Linked DNA regions of Schizosaccharomyces pombe. The protein of the gene in region 4 purifies or fractionates together with the protein of the main gene of each other region. This does not show direct contact. Each region holds a gene or a part of one and is shown on either strand. Other genes may lie near its edges.

The links.
Region 1: the proteins of lea1 (region 4) and prp19 purify together in Schizosaccharomyces pombe (affinity purification with mass spectrometry; 2 studies listed by BioGRID, with this or other methods). This does not show direct contact.
Region 2: the proteins of lea1 (region 4) and ntr2 purify together in Schizosaccharomyces pombe (affinity purification with mass spectrometry; 2 studies listed by BioGRID). This does not show direct contact.
Region 3: the proteins of lea1 (region 4) and prp17 purify together in Schizosaccharomyces pombe (affinity purification with mass spectrometry; 2 studies listed by BioGRID, with this or other methods). This does not show direct contact.

Annotation. Positions count from the first base shown.
Region 1 is NC_003424.3:5,131,504-5,135,842, forward strand, and holds prp19 (Prp19 complex subunit, ubiquitin-protein ligase E4 Prp19), read left to right. Parts: upstream 1-1,719; 5' UTR 1,720-1,738; coding exon 1,739-1,796; exon of another isoform or gene 1,797-1,836; coding exon 1,837-1,941; intron 1,942-2,280; exon of another isoform or gene 2,281-2,426; coding exon 2,427-3,730; 3' UTR 3,731-3,839; downstream 3,840-4,339. Other genes in the region: RNA polymerase I upstream activation factor complex subunit Rrn5, read right to left, coding at 1-222; rRNA exonuclease Rrp17, read right to left, coding at 737-1,138, 1,186-1,291, 1,332-1,435; srb6 (mediator complex subunit Med22), read right to left, coding at 3,920-4,330. UniProt on the Schizosaccharomyces pombe protein: Probable ubiquitin-protein ligase involved in pre-mRNA splicing. May also function in DNA repair.
Region 2 is NC_003424.3:3,567,450-3,571,246, forward strand, and holds ntr2 (spliceosome complex disassembly protein Ntr2), read right to left. Parts: upstream 2,097-3,797; 5' UTR 2,091-2,096; coding exon 1,994-2,090; exon of another isoform or gene 1,920-1,993; coding exon 1,843-1,919; exon of another isoform or gene 1,778-1,842; coding exon 1,692-1,777; exon of another isoform or gene 1,644-1,691; coding exon 818-1,643; 3' UTR 533-817; downstream 1-532. Other genes in the region: SPOM_SPAC17A2.07C (uncharacterized protein), read right to left, coding at 1-189, 292-409; RNA-binding protein Csx1, read right to left, coding at 2,998-3,797.
Region 3 is NC_003423.3:2,649,951-2,655,546, forward strand, and holds the start of prp17 (Prp19 complex WD repeat protein Prp17), read left to right. Parts: upstream 1-1,643; 5' UTR 1,644-1,695; coding exon 1,696-1,806; exon of another isoform or gene 1,807-1,847; coding exon 1,848-2,612; exon of another isoform or gene 2,613-2,651; coding exon 2,652-3,267; exon of another isoform or gene 3,268-3,310; coding exon 3,311-3,358; exon of another isoform or gene 3,359-3,397; coding exon 3,398-3,534; 3' UTR 3,535-3,594; coding exon of another isoform or gene 3,595-5,596. Other genes in the region: Mre11 complex BRCT domain subunit Nbs1, read right to left, coding at 1-273, 316-395, 435-583, 688-776, 815-868, 928-964; 1-phosphatidylinositol-3-phosphate 5-kinase Fab1, read right to left, coding at 3,595-5,596.
Region 4 is NC_003423.3:4,144,785-4,147,946, forward strand, and holds lea1 (U2 snRNP-associated protein Lea1), read right to left. Parts: upstream 1,487-3,162; 5' UTR 1,280-1,486; coding exon 1,199-1,279; intron 1,138-1,198; coding exon 505-1,137; 3' UTR 501-504; downstream 1-500. Other genes in the region: elc1 (elongin C), read left to right, coding at 1-5, 46-94, 138-271, 310-314; serine/threonine protein kinase Ppk22, read left to right, coding at 2,872-3,162.

The DNA.
Region 1 (4,339 bases), on a different chromosome or scaffold from region 4:
CCAGTAAGTTCCATCCACACAAGAGCCACTAAGAACGCCCCATTGTTCTTCTTCCAAATCAAAGTCACGCTTATTTTCAGTCTCAACTTCGTATTGTTGAAGGACGTCTAGGTATCGTTCATCATGAGTCATGTACAATTGCTCACTTGAGCCAATGATAGATGCAGTGCTTAAAGGCGTTGACCCTTCACTCTCATTTAATCCGTTTATTGAAGAAGACATGTTATTATTGAGAACATGATCAACGCTAATGAAATAAAAGCTGTTGCAGTCTTCTTTTTAATATTTTTTTGTTTACCACATTACCAGACGTGGTTTGTGTTCTGACAAAGATCAAACTCGGTATTCTAGTGAATTTCGCTAATATACTAAAATCCAAAGGAATATATAAATGTAGAGTATCTCTAAAATTTACGGGTTTTAAACATAATAAAAAAATATAAATCGTGCTAAAATCTAGCTTACCGCTTATTGAGTACAAATTTTTTGCGCATGTACAAACACCTTAATCAAAACTGTGAACAAAAAATTGAAAAAGGCTGAAATGCATATATCAGACCAAGAAAAACTCCGTATATGTAATGATCTCTTGTAAAGTAGTTTGTTAACTTCCAAAAATTCTCAACCTGAAAAACGAATGGACAATTGAATTCAAATATCATTTTATACCAACCATATTCATAAATATAAAAAAAGGGCAAGATGCGTCAAACAACGTGTGCTTGAAGTTCCTAATTTAACGTCTTATTTTCTTCTTTAAACGACGTATTTTTTCTTTTCTTCTGTCCTGTGTACGTTCAAATTTGCTCTCATACCGAAATTTCTTTTTGGCGGCATTTTTAGGCTTGTGGGGACGCAAAGGAACATCTGGTGGAGGAGAAATACGAGGCGTGACAAAACCTTCTTTAGGATAAGCAATTTCTTCATCATCATCGTCCTCTACAATTTCTACCGTAACATGCTTATCATCTTCGTCATACTCAGTAGTTTTAGGCTCCATTGATGACTCTTCCTCGCTGTCAGATTTAGATGAGGAATCTTCTTGCTGTGAAGATTCTTCATCATTTTCTAGCGAGCTATTCAACTCTTTAGAGAATGCTAATCGCTCAGCCAGTTCTCTTTTGCGCTGTTCTCTGAGCTGAATAGTGTTAGTGATATACTCAAGATAGTATTAGAAAAACTTACAGATTTCCTCAACGCTAAACGTTCTTCGCGTTTTTGCTGCTCCAATTGAACTTGAGCATGCTTTCGTCGTTCAACTTTGCGTTTATGAAATCCAGTTAAATACTCTCTGTAACAAGTTAGTAGCAATCCCTTTATGATATCCATACTTTCGCTTCTCTTTATCAAAGACGATCTCCTCCAATCTTTGCTTCTTCCCTTTCTTCCTGCTGTAAATCTCACCTCCACGGGTTAGTAGAGATGTATTATCCATGATGCAACAGTTCGTGAGTAGCTAGAAGAGAGGGACAATTTATGGGAATCTGTAGTGATTTTAAGTAAATTATCTCCAATTCTATCCAGTCTCGTAATGGTCCAGTAGATTTATGAAGACGAGAGGTACTGAAACCCTACTATGCCTTGTACGTACATTTGCACTACTAACTAGAAAATTATTTGCAAAATGCATCGCATTTGCCTTATATTATATACGGATATTGGTATAGTGCAGTAAACGATTAGTTGGCTATGCATTGCTTTCCTCTAGCTATTACACACAGAAACCAACGTGTGCCGAATGTTTTGCTCAATCAGTGGAGAAACGCCAAAAGAACCGGTGATTTCTCGTGTAAGTGGTATGTTTGTACAATAATTTCCCTGTCTGACTGAATGTAGGAAATGTTTACGAGAAGCGCTTGATTGAACAAGTTATTCGTGAAACGTCTAAAGACCCTGTTACTCAACAGGAATGCACGTTGGAGGACTTGGTTCCTGTAAAGGGTAAGATTTCCTTCTTTATTATTGAATGGTTAAGAATTTCAAGTAGCACTTATTTTTTTATACGTGGAGTACTGAATATTCTGAAATTGGTTTGGAAAGTAAAACCCTGCAATATTGGTTGAAGAACTCGTTTATTTTCTTTTTTTTGTTGATAATGTATTTTATTGCATGATTGATTTGTACTCGAAATTTTTTAATTTTACAGCTTTATATTTCTCCTTAAAAAGTGGACTATTTAGTGCATGTCAATATCTCGGGGCAGAAATTAGGAAGGTTTTTAGAGAATTATAGAACAACCTTGTCGGATTTATCAAAACAAATCTTTATCAAAATTAATGTGGAGTTGTTGAGGAAAATGTATTAATACTTTAGATTTTTTTTGGTTTTTGCTCTCCAATGCGATTTATATTTACTATATTTTGATTGTACTGACCATTCACATATAAAGCGAATCAAATCGAAGATAATTGCTAACCTTTAAACAGTACCTGATTTTGTTAGACCTCGACCTCCTTCTGCCACTTCATTGCCTGCATTGCTGTCTCTCTTTCAAGAAGAATGGGATTCTGTCGCGCTTGAGCAATTTGAACTTAGAAGAAATCTTACAGAGACGAAGCAGGAGTTATCAACGGCATTGTATTCGCTAGATGCTGCGTTAAGAGTTATATCTCGGCTTACCAAAGAAAGAGACGAAGCTAGAGAAGCATTGGCGAAATTTTCCGATAACATAGGCACTGTTTCCTCGAAAACTATTGAAGTACAAGAGGTAGAGATGGGCGAAAGTGATGACCAGCTTAAAACTAGCTTACGCTCTACGGTGGAAAAAACATTTCAAGAACTTTCTTCCAAAAGGAAACGTACAAAGTTACAACCTAAATGGGCGACTGACGATGCTGTGAGTCAGCTCTTGCAAGCTACTCCTTCTACTATCTTAGAAAATTTGGAAACAGAAAGCACTACGTCTTTCTTCCCGTCCCCTGAAAATTCTTCTTTTGTATTATGTCTTCATAAGGATGAACTTTTATGTCTAGATATCCAATCCAACAGTACTCTCAAAATTTTTGAAGGATCAGCTTTAGCGTGTTGTTGGTTGACTTCTTCCAAGATTGCTGTCGCTACTGCTGATGCCATTTCAATTTTTGAATTTCCTGTTTCCTCATCTGGTTTACAAAGTGTGGGTGAACCTACTTCGTCCATTCCTATAGACGAAAAGGTGAACTTCCTTCAAGCTCATCCAAGTGGGGAATATTTATTAGCAGCATCAAACGAAAAGTGTTATATTTTCTCCCTGAAATCCCAGGTTTATAATATCACCGTTGCTCAACACATTACATCTCTTGCTGTACATCCGGACGGTAACCTCTTTGTCGCTGGGTTAGAGAATGGCGAGTTACGCTTTTTTGAGACTTCCTCGGGAAATGAGCTTACAAAATTTGGACCACATTCAAGTCCAGTTAAAACATTACAATTTGGTGAAAACGGTTATTGGCTTGTAGTAACAACTAATGATGACTCTGACATTTTCATTTGGGACTTAAGAAAATCTGAGCTTGTTCAAAAAATACCCCTACAAACCAAAGTCGCAGCAGTGTCATTAGATATTACTAGTCAACTTTTGGTAAGTTCGGATGGGGAGACTCTCTATGTACATATTTATGTCAAATCTTCAAAGTCTTGGAGATGTATGAGTCAAACCCATGTTTCCTCTATTTCTAATTTGGTTTGGTTAAATGAGTTACACCAGTTGTTGTTTAGTACTTCAAATGGAGCCATTCTCCGGTTGGGTTAACCCAATTTTTAATCCTTTAATTATGTGCTCCTCCATTAGGCTTTTCGTATTTAGTAAGATTTTGGCTCTTTAACTTAAGTGATTTCCTTCATAATGAAATATTTAGGCAAACTATTATTTTTCAGATAGATGTATCATTAAATTTTGACATTTGGTTTAATTGGCAAAAAATAATTTATGTGAGTTAACTCAAGTGTCAGAAACAGTGGGAGCCTCAGTTGTTTCTGATGCTTCTGGTTCAATTAAACTGACTTCCAGTAAATGATTTTGTAGTTTAGTAAGAGTTCTTTTAACTTTCTCAAGATCAGGCTCGCTGTAATCGACAGTCGGAAAAGACGTGGAAAGAGAATTAGTGAGCCAATATGATTTAATTTGTCGAGAAACATCCAGTAACTGTTCTACCGCGCGAACCATGGACACAGTATGGCATTCAATCTGGTAAACCTCTGGTGCTACCGTATATTTATCTTTGCCTTCATTTATAGCAATATCCAGTATGTCTTGAAACCTTGACAAAATAGTTAGTGTAGCATTGTCAATAGACGAATTTAAAGTATTAGTTCGCTGAACTAGCTGCCGTTGGAAACTGTCTGAAGACATACTAGCTTT
Region 2 (3,797 bases), on a different chromosome or scaffold from region 4:
CCCGTTTCAATTTCTTTTCCAAAGGAGAGATCACAGAAAGTTGTGTCCGTGGAGCTTCGTCAGCCTCTTCTGTAGGCTTATTTATGCTGTCATCTTCTTCCAGTTCAGCATCCAAGTCTTCTACAACAATTGTGTACTCATTTTTGTAGTAAGCTACACGCTTGCAGGTTGGCATTTCAATATCAGAATCTGCACCGACTGTTAATATATTGACATGGAATAAAGGATATTGTAAGAGAATTCGCTTTCCCTTTTAAATTTATTCAAAAGGTTAATCGATAGTATACATACCATCATATTCTGAAGTATCCTCTATTGTAAGCTTCTTCAATGGCCTTTCGATAATTTCGAGGATTCTTTTCGTCGAATAATCATCTTTTGACGCATAATAGCTTCTTTTCAGAGCCATTGAGACGATAAAATGACAAGTCTTATTGTAAACCCACTTTTTGGCAGTAGGTAAAATGTATTCTCTTCAACACACAAAATCCATTGTAAGTGACAATGCTACTTACTAAAGTTTTGAATACTCAGAGGCTATAACTTTAATATGTGATAAAGCTAATGAAATCTTCTAGCAATTAATATCTATTATCTCCATAAATATCGGGTCATTATTTTTTTGTAATTCCCGGTGACTTCTTGGCACTGTTTTTCTATTTCAACAAGTCACCGATGGGCTGTAACAGCTAATTAATACTGTACAAGGATAAGAGTTCTGTAAGAAATGTAAATCTAAGTTATAGCGTTAAGTAAATTTATCGACCATGTCTTTCTTCTTTGTTTTTTTTTTATCAATTAAAAAATCCAAAGTAAATCAGGATTTGCTTTTGGTAAGGTTGTTCAACAAAGTTTTATCTAAATCAATGAAAGAATGTTTAATCTTTTCCTCTTGTTCATTAATCTCGAGTTCTTCTTCCATAAGTGATTTAATAATCTGTGAACGCTCCTCCTGCTGAAGCTTCTCAGAAGCTATTGCTTCTTTTAGCCGCTGAATTTGTTCATCCATTGTAAGAATATTAGGAAGCTTCACAGAAAGTCCATTTGTAAAAGCAGGAGATTCTCCAAAGGCACCTTTCTTGATTTGAGTATGTTCCCATGATTGGATGGGCTCTGCTATGTCTTCATCGTCCAATTCCATCTCCATATTTTTCTGGTCGACGGCCATTTGAATTGATCGTGTCCGTAAACTTTCCGAGCTATGGTGGTATATTTCTTGAAGTTTTTCTGACTCCTCCACGTAATTTTCAAATCCAGAGTAACCTTCATCTTGAATTTCGTCTTCCGTTTGAAGCAATTTCTCTTCTTTATGATTTTGTGCCAACATCAGTTGGTCCCCTGTTTCAAGTGAAATGTAATTATCCGTCATCATGGCAATGTTTCTCTTTCTTCCTTCTCGATCCTTTAACTCCTTAATCATTGCTTCCTCAGGAATGCCTTGATTAAGCATATTCCATTCCAAACTAGTATTAACGGGTAAAGGAGGTGACGATCTTGTTTGCAATTCGCTTTCTTTGGTCGAGGAATCCTCCTCCTTCTTTGTAAATTCTGATGGTGTCTGCCTACTTTTTCTCTTTAACTCATCCACATAAGCATTGGAGTATCCACTTTCATGCGAGAGAGCATCCATTCTTCGCGATATTCTTTATTAATTAGATAACTAATACTTGGACTTAAAACATTTTACTTACAAATCATCAACCGAATGAAAAGAGCTTTGCTTTTTTACCTTTGGAATCAAAGGGATTTGAGAATCCTCCCCATCGTCGTCTCCTTCCTAATCAATGTTTGTTAATATAACAGATGAATTGGTAAAACGTTTTCCAGCAAAAAACAACTTACCTCGTTCTCATATTTCACCCTAAATTTTCCCGAATTTTTTTCTTTCGCTTTTGTTTTTCTTCTATTTGCATTTTTGTCTAAGCATTGTTAGTACACTTGCGATAATAAGTTCTATTCGAGCCCAAGCACTTTTGCGCTTTTAAGTTCTTACTTGATTGAGAAACGTTTAAATTTTCTTCATGCTTTTCTTCCTCATTGTCGCTCGTTTGCACGATTTTAGGCTTCGCCTTTTTTAAGTATCGTCGCATGTTGGTAAATGGGTGCTACTTTCTAGGCAAACATATTTCTACCAATCTTTCATATTGAATAGCTATTTTTGTAAAAAAAAAATCATATAAAGTCTTAATTAAAATGATGTTTTTATGTTCTGTGAAAATTAGAAAGGGATAAACATAAATGTCTTTACTTGGGCATTTAATATTATGGCACATACTGAAGAGGTGCATCGGATAATGCAAAGCATCAGAAAAGTATTTGTTCAATTGACTTACATTTTTTTCGACTAATTTTAGAGAAATGTGTTTGAAATTCAAGTTTCAGATTTAAAACTTTTAATTGAAAAGCTACAATCGACAAGCTACCAATATCTACTACAGTCACTGGAAAATTTCCATTATATAAGTTGAAAACAAAAACAATGCTTTTAATTATTTAGAAAATCAGAAGAAAAAATAACAAAATTATTTTTTGGAAAGGACATTTTAAAATAAAACATATAAATAACTCATCGATCCAAAAAAAAGATTTGGACGTTTGAAAAACCTCAATGGAAGTTTTCATGTACATATGTGCATTAAGGAACAACAGCAATGAAAGAAAAATAAAACAATCATAAATAAAACAATCCTTGGCACAAATAATATTCAACAGTTATAAAAAACATCACAAGAGAGATTTAACATACAAGAATAAAAACAAAACAAAATAAAAAAAATCACGAGAGCACCCTTCAGTTCTTTAAGACATTAAACTAACTTGATCAGGAGCCCTCGAAAACTTATACGGATGCCTTTGAAAAACGAAAATAAATAAAAAATTAAAACAAAAACATTAGAAATAAAACAAGAATATTCGGGAAATCCCTTCACTTAAGAAGAGAAGTGGAAGAAACAAATAGTAGTAGTAGTAATGCATTTCAAACATCATAAAAATAATTTATGAATCGCGTGACAAGCGTAGAGAAGGTTGCAAGTATTGACCAGTACAATTAAATGTAGAATAAGAACGAGGAGGCAAGCGACCTCTCAAGTTCAAACCAAAGCCGGATTTCTCCAAACCGTTTTCATTTTGCTCCAACTCATGACGGAGATCAATTAGTGAAGACTGACGCTCCCTTCCTAGGTTCCAAGGCCTAGAAGCTCTCGCTTGAAATGCTGAACCATTCAAAGAAGCAGGTTGCTCATCATCAACCAACTTTAAGGAGGAAACACGTGTTAATAAATCTTGAGTAGCAAAGGAGTTATGATTGTTGCCGGAAAAAGGCTGCAACCATTCGGGGAGCTTCACACTAGGCTGGACCTTTGCAGAACCATTAATTTTTGAGGATTGCAAAACAGAAGACTGAGGATACACCTGTCCGCCTACCAAGCCAGTGGCAGCTGAAGGGAAATGGGAAGAAAGAGGTGTCAAACCTGAGCCACTACCGGACAACGTAGGAGAAATGGAGGCTGAACGAGACAAAGGAGGTGGAGAAATGGTTGAAAAATTTACGGAGTTCATGCCATTGATTGAGGAAACAACGGAGTTTGGCAACAAAGATTGCGCAGCAGCAGTACGAGGTGAAACAGGTGCACTCTTCAAGCTAGAGCCGGATGAGTTTGAGCTGCCAGAGTTTGCTCCAATGACAGATTGATTCATACCGAAAATTTGGTTAGCGGAAAGAGTTCTGTCGAAGCCCTCATCTGAAACTTGGGATTGAGATTGAGACAAGGCAGATACAGGAAGCGTATTATGAC
Region 3 (5,596 bases), 1.5 Mb from region 4:
CTTCTAATGAATTTATGCAGTCTTCAGGAGATGACGGGAATTGATCGTTGTTCTTTATGATATTTTTAAAACATTCAAGCGCATCTGGCATTAGGCTGGCGTCTTCAATTACGGATTCTTTAACAGTTGATAGGTACTGAAGATAGCTATCATCTATAATTACAGTTTTTTTAAGAAAAGCATACATAGTTCCAACAGTTATACTGGACCCAGCTTGTCTGTTCATAACAAAGTGGGTAGTAGCATCGCTATCGCGTAGTCCAGTCGGTATACCTGAAAGTTGATAAGAAGTGAAAAAAAAAAAGACCGAAGTACCTAAGAGGTTTAAATTTGAAGCCCACTGGGATAACATTTCAGGGTTATCGAATTGTATACACATACTTCTCCAGTATGCACTTAAAGTTAGTAAATCATATATAGTCGATAAAACTTACTTTATCGTGAATGGACATTTACCCAGTTGTATTTTAAGATCTTTTTCTTTGTAAGAATCACCATTTTGACCAACAACTTTTTCATTAACCTTGGTTCCAAACTTCGTATCGAGGTCCTTTACTTCAAACTCGCATGGGCCACCGGTAAACTGTGCACATATTAGCTGGCATTGATTTAAAATATAAGAAAGATAAACATATAATAGAAATGAAAAATGAAAAGCTCAATATTTCCATTTAATTGGATACGTACGTAGTCTTTCTCACTTGGGGTCAAAATCGTAAAACGAGCATGGCGTTTACTAATTGATTTAGAAATCACTTGAATGTGGGACGAATCGTCTGCAATATTAGAAAATTAACAAAAATAAGAAACTTACCAGATACATTTCGACCTACAATATAAGTTCCTGGAAATAGTATCCGTGATTTTCCTGCTGTTTAGTACGTACAATACGGCCATAATGAAATTGATATAGCTAGTAAGAGATACCTTTTAGAATGTCACCCTCAGCCTCAATTATCCACATTTTTTCAACATAAAATTCTTTTTATTGAAAAAATTCAGAAACCAGAATGCTGTTTTCACAACTGAGGATGCATAGGTGCGTCGCTTTTAATTTTAGTACAATTGAAAGTAACAAAGTAACCCTTTATGATGTCCAAAAGCCCTTCGTTAAATTAGAAGCTAAATCTACTAAACCAATTCTTGAATTTGAATTGACAAAGCTTGCTTTTCAAAGCTTTCTTCAAGAAAAAGTTTAATCAACAAAAACTCTTAAAAAATTTATAATTTCAAAAAATTAGACTTACACAGGTTCTCTGTCCTAGCCTTGCAAACACAAAAAATACTGTGAGTACACTAGAAAATGAATTTACTAAAGGGGTAAACTATCGTACCAAAATGAAATTTTTAAAGTCATGAGCTTATGTGAGCAAACAAACTTCAATTAAATACTATTTATCATACGTCGTGTATATGCACTACTGGATAACTTCTTTTACAGTTTAAAAAAGTCCATGCCTCTTTAAATAACTAACTTTATTTCTAGTTTTTACTACATTCCTTTATTTTTTAATCAATGAATTATCTATTACCTATCCTAATAAGCAGAAGTATGAGTTAGCTGTAGTGTTTCATTTTCGCTAATTGATATTAGCCAGGAATCTCTCATCCTCGCTAAACCTCCCTACAGCTTAATCTTCCTTAAACCATTACCATACGAATTTGCTGGTTTCATATTCGCCGTTTGCAATTTCTATGTTGGTTGCAAACTATTCTAGTGATTCAGAAGAACAGGAGAATTCCCAATCGCCTAACATCCAACCTCTTCTGCATACTGAAAATTTAGCGCCAGCTGTGGTTGATAACGTATTTATCAAATGTTTTTTATAACATGCTAATCATTTTAGGTAAAGGATGATTTAATTGTTTCAAAGGGAGGAAACTCTAGAGAATTAGCGCGTAATGTCCCGGTTAATGAAATGGTGCAGCCTGCTTTAGGGCCTGCAAATCCATTTGTCACTAAAGAACAGGATTCTATAAAGAACAGTATTACCGGTTATGCTGAGAGGGAATATGTTCCAAATTTTGTATTTAATCAAGAATATTATGCTAATACACATGCTATTTATGGAAAACGAAATTTTGATGATAACGAAGCTACTACTTCTACAGATTTAAAAAGGAAGTCCCAGAAAATAAAAGAACGTAGAGAGGATCCTGGCGATCCATCTATCCTTGAAGGGGATGGTGCTTATAAGGGGCCATGGGCCGGATACGGTTCTGAACAATCCTCTTCACCTTTGGAGTACAGTGAATATGAAGAGGTTGAATCCCTGGATGTCAAAAGTGAAAAGGATACGGAATCTAATAACCTGGGTCAAAATGAATTATTGAAGGAACAATTAGCTACTCCAGAAGTTGAAACTCATCGCTCTAAAGAAGAGACTATACTTCATAAAGATAGATTATTTGATTATCAAAATAGAAGCTATATGCATGTCCCGAATGACGTCGGAATAAATTTATCGGAAGAGCCTGGTGAACAAACTTGTTACATTCCAAAGAAGCATATATTCACTTGGAAAGGTCATACGAAAGGTATTTCCTGCCTTAGGTTTTTTCCGATTAGTGGCCATTTACTTCTTTCTGGCTCAATGGATAATCAGATAAAGGTATGTTTGTAAGCAAAAAGATGATAAACTAATATTTAGATTTGGGAAGTTTACCATGACCGTTCTTTGCTTCGTACATTCCAAGGACACGCTCGTCCTATCCGCGATTTATCATTTAGCCAAGATGGACGATCATTCTTAAGTACTAGTTTTGATAAAACAATTAAACTCTGGGATACCGAATTAGGGAAATGTTTGAACTGCTTTAATTCAGATAGATTAACAAACTGCGTCAAATTCCAAGTAGATCCTGATAAACCCAACGAGTTTTTAGCAGGAACAGCTGACAAAAGGATCCTTCAATTTGATATCAGAAGTCCTGATATTGTTCAAGCATACGATCATCATCTCGGCGGAATCAATTCCATAACATTCCTTGAAAACGGAAAGCGCTTCGTTACCACATCTGATGACTCTTCAATGCGATTTTGGGAATACGGAACTCCAGTTCCTATAAAATTTGTGGCTGACATTGCAATGCATTCAATGCCTCGGGTTGCCTTACGGCCAAATGGAAAGTCGATAGCATGTCAATCTCTAGATAACTGCATTTACGTATATTCGGCATACGAGAAATATAGACAAAACAAAAAGAAGGTCTTTAAGGGATACAGTTGTTCAGGTTATAGCCTAGAAGTTGGATTTTCACCTGATGGTATGGCGTTCATTTTTTATTACGAATTTCTAACTAGTTTTAGGGAGATTTGTTTTTAGCGGAGATTCGAGCGGAAATGCCTGTTTCTGGGGTAAGTGCTTGGAATTGGAAAAACACCTAACATTTTTAGATTGGAAAACCTGTAAGCTAATGGCTAAACTCCCGGCTCATAGTGGACCCGTACAAAGCATGGCGTTCCACCCTCAAGAAACAAGCAAGGTAGCTACATCATCTATAGTTGATGGGTCTATCAAATACTGGGATTAAAAAGATTGTTCATATTTCTTGACCAAACAGCGAAATATATACATTAAACTAACGTTTCTTCTATTCGCAAAACTTAAAACCTTCCCCAGTCTCAAAATCCTGAGATGCTAAAATATAGCAATCCATAGCCTTTCGGAATCTATTTTTGTATTGCTTTGGAGTAACAATTGTTGGTTCAGGACCTCTACCAACTAAGCCTTTCTCCTTTACCCAACTTTCAAGTTTTTTGTCCCAAGTGTATGTTCGTATGAAATCAATTATTCCAACATAAAGTTCTTTTTTTGTATAATCAATACCAACAATTAAAGAGTAATCCATGATATTGAGTTTTGAGAGGAACAATGTATCATTCCAAAGGCAAGAATGCAAAAGACTTTTTAGTTGTTCACTAACAAATATTGGAGATTCGTAAATAAGTTCAACCAAATTTTCATCAAGCAATACTTCATCTACCTTCCCTGTAGATTCTACATGTCGATTCCTCATGGAACCTTTAAGATCAAATATTCTAGACGGACATTCATCATAAAATACATTTTCCATAATCATTATATCAGTCTTACAGATTGTACCAGTAGTAGGATTTCGAATGTCTACGCGGTAAAATCCAAAGATTTTAGTCAATGCAGTTGGCAACTCGTGAAAGAAAACTTTAGATATGTAATCAAAATAAGCTGGAGCAAAATTAAGCAAGGAGTCACTTTCCAACCTTGACAGAACTTTGAGAATGTATTTCTTATCGAAAGTTTTTAAAAATGCTGATCCAGATTTTCCACCGCTAGATTCCCAAAGAGAACATCTCGCTAGAGATGTCACAAACGTCTCCTCACAGCCACAAGCTCTTCGCAAAGCACTAAATTGTTCCGCGAAAAAGACCTTACAGGATAGTCTTGCTGATCCTTCTTCAAACTGGTATTTCAAATGCGTCCCCGTTGGTTTGAGCATTAAGTTTTCAATTTTGAATTGCGTCGAGCCTTGTAAGCCTTGATTGGTTAAAGCTTCGTCCATGCTATCTTCAATTTCTACCATTTTTGATAAATAGTCAGGAGAGCTAAGAGTAAAACTTATCAAGGAGCTAGGTTCGTCTTCCCTTATGATCACATTTGAGTCGGAAAACATATGCTCTGTAGGTTGTAGAGGAAATTCAAAAGGTGGAGGATTGAGGGAGTTCCATTCATTCCAAAATGCAGATAAAATCCTGTAAACTGAAGTTTTGTCAGCCAAAGGACCAGAAGTTGGCAACTTTGATCCCTCTTTATCCATTTGACTAGAAGGTTCAAGGTTTTGCTGTTCTTCGAGGCCAGATTCATTTTTGAAAAGAATTCCAAAAATATCTTCAAACGCTTCAGGTGAATTGTCTTCATTCGAAGAAACATTTTCTCGCTCCTTGCTCATAGAATCAACTCCAGAAAAATTGCTTTCGGTAGCGCGATTTTCTTTTGTGTCATTAATGCCATTCTCATCTTCGGAATTTTCATCATCAAATGCTTCATTAAGGTCATTAAATACTTCTACTACCGGCTTAGATGGGACTACAGGAAGAGCCCGCTTGCGTCGAGCCTTTATTAATTCTTCATCTCGTTTTTGCTTTTCTTGTAATTGTAAACTTAGCTCTTCAAATCTACGCACTAAAGAGCTAACCCGCACATCTTTTGCTGGAATGGGCTTCCTGGGTGAGTATTTTGTAGAATTCTGTATACTGGAAATTTTTGCAGATATTGAAGAAGAAATAGGCATGTTCATCCCACTTGTTGAAGATGCATTGACAAATCGCCTGTCACTGGTACTAGCACTTTTCCGCTTATGAGAAAGCATATTAACGCCTTGTCTTTGGCTTATATTTGGATACGTTTGTCTACTGAAACCTGAATTTGAGACCGGAGAAGCTGGAAAAGTGTTCTGAGTAGAAATATCATTGGTAAAATCGATGTTGGCTTTAGGAATATCGGAAGATGTTGCTACTGAAAAGCAATCAGATTCTGGAGAACCAACATTTGCCATACTATCTGCATACGGAGCAACACGCTTGTTTGAAGCAACATTAGTTTGGGTAACTTTCTCG
Region 4 (3,162 bases):
CGAAGGTTTGATAATGATATTTAGTAAAGTAATTCTAATGTATAGGAATATTTTCTGAGGCGCAAAAAAATGAATGCACATTTCCTGATATACGGTATGCAATTGGTCTATTCATTCAATTCTAATAAGGTGTCTAGGGCAACACTGTTGGAAAAAGTTTGTGAATATTTGCATTACAATTACAGATATAAAAATCAATTAGATATTCCAAAGTTCGATATCCCACCTGAGATGGTTTTAGAATTATTGGTCACTGCGGAATATTTGGAAGGTAAGATTATCATTACTATTTAAAGCTAATGAATACAGCATAATTCTGATTACTCACGAGGAACGAAAGGATTGCTAAATTGCTACAGCATTAAAGAATTGACGGTTTTTGTTTACGATTAACGATTTGATGCCTTAAATAACTATTAAACGCGTTACCTATCGAATGCAAGAAATGAGATGGAAAAAATGTATTATATAACTATGCGGTTTCTAGAAATCTTGTGAGTTACTTTATTTTGGAATTTTCCCCTCTAATAGCATAGCTTCCAGTCGATTTATCTCAGCAATGGAAGAGGCATTTTTAATGGCTTCTTTGATCTTTTCTCTTTCCTCAGGTGTAAGTGTATATCCAGTTGTAATAGGAGAATTCGCTTCTGGGTGGCTTTGTACCAATGCAGCCAAATCAAATACTCGACTTTTCACACCCATAATAGAGGAAGCTATTTCTGTAGGGTTTTGAATTTGACCAAACACTTCTTCAGCACGAAGCCTTTCATTTCTTCTAACCCGTTCGAAATCTAAAATATGTAACGAAGGAATTCTCCATATAAGATATAATCTATAATATTGTTTTTGAGCAACTGGATTGTCAATGCACGACAAATTAGTGAGTTGAGGACAACTAGCCAACGGATCTAAATCTGCTATTTCTTGAAGATGATTTTGTGCTAGGGATAAAGTCTTTAAATTCGGAAGAACTTTACCTATGTCTGGGGCTATAGCAGTTATTCGGTTATTTCCACACAAAAGCGTTTGAAGCCTTTTCATACGAGGGAAATTCCCTAAATATCGAATGTCATTGTCTGTGAAATCAATTGCATCGTGTACGTCCCTTAACACTCCTAAATTTTCAATTATTGGAATCTGATACCCTGTAATTATGAGTTAGCTGGATGACACGTAGCATACAGTAATTTCTTTAAACATATCTTAAATCAAGCTCAGTTTCTTTCAAAGGACTGATGAATGAGGGTACCTGAGACAAAAATTCAGCATTAAGACGCATGAAATTTTTGTAATGAAAATGCCTTTTTTATGCTGTTACTGCAGTATGATTTAAAATTCCTAAAAAATTATCCAAAACGCTCACAATCCTAAATTTCACTATTGTTTATTCAAAAAATGTTATAGTTAACGTTTTAGAATCTAATAATGTAAAGTTAATTATGTAAAAACCAAGAATATGACACGTCAAGAGAAGAAGCAAAGTGGTAGAGTTTGGATAGTAAGCACATAAATAAATACAAAGAAATCTTGACTCAATAAGCAAAAAATACTCACTTTTTCTACTTTTTAGATTTAAAAAAAACAAATTATGCGTAATTATACTTTGATAATTGACTGACGACTTCCATGTTCAAGAATCGGCTTTCGTACTAGAAAATTCTTGGGAAAACAGAGAATAAATGATTTTTGTATATGTGTGTTTTGACACCTTTAAATAAAACATTTTTTCATTGTTGTCAAATATATATCTTAAGTTTGTCAGAAATTGGTACACACTCTTTTATCTGTTGAGCTCTCAAAAACAAACACAAGCAATCGACTATTTGGATGAAACACACATTGTTTTCCACTCAAAGTTTTAGTTCAACTCATCTATAATGTTCATACTGCCTCCCTATTTGACTTCGTGAGCACAAACCGCCAACGAAAGTTTGAAACCAGGTTATTTACAATTATTCAGAGTTGCTTAAGGAACCTGTTTTCCTATTAAAAAATTGCATTGAGATACTTACTAAACTGCTATATCTTTTTGTTTTCTCATTTAATGAAAAACATTCCAAAAACAATATTGACATCAAGTCGTTTTTTAATGTAACAGTTTTAATGAATTCTTCAGATTGTTTCTATCGTATTGCTCTATCTCAATGAAAGCACTGCTAAGAAATTATATTTAAATTGATATGACAGCTTCTAATATCGAATCAACTATCCATCCTCATACTAATACCACATGAGTCGGACTAATTGAAAATGCCAGCGATATCGACAAATGTACATCGACATTTCGGATAATGTTTGGGTTTAGAGTAGCCTCTTTTGTAGTTGAAAGTGGAAGAAATACATGATTAAATGTTGTGCTTCCATAGCTCGTGTACTTATAAATCATACAGTCACTCTTGAGAATATGAAATTAAAAATCACTGCATTTATTCTAACACTTATTCTGTTCCAGTAAGAATTATTCAAACTGAATTTACTACAAAACTACAGATCAATACCCACACATAAAAACCAAAAACAAGTTTTTTCTTTTATTTACAATAGCTTCAACTAAGTATTTTGAAGCTGCTTGTTAGTTAATGCTACAATATGACTGTTTATTTCTATATGCTTAAAAAGAGGATTATATAACATAAGGATGGCCGTGGCTCCACTAACTATTCTTTTGCCGACACCTCCAAATGAAACAAGAATTAATATAAGCAGGAGGAATACCATTCGGCTAGTTATATTAGACTATTTGGGAGCTTTGAAGTCGTTTTTCAAGTTTGCTTACATTCTGATTTATATTAGGTATTATAAGTGAGCCGTCAGCGAAATTTATTAACCGGTGAATGTTTGAAGCGCTACGAGATTAATGGATGACTTAGAATGGCTCGAGAAACTGAATTTAATGACAAAAGTCCCTCTTCCACCGATGATGGTATGAGCCAGTCGCACTTTTCAGATAAACTGAAAAATTTGTTTCACTTTCGTAGGAATCGAGCGGCAACCGTTTCTACTAGTGTCCGAAATGATCAGAGGGATAATGATTCTGATGACTCAACCTTTGATATTAATGTTAATCAATTGAATGAATTAGATCTGAATGATAGTAGCGATCAATTGGATAGTCGTCCCAGCCTTAGACGCGTATCTTCCGCACCTGATTCTCACAAAGGA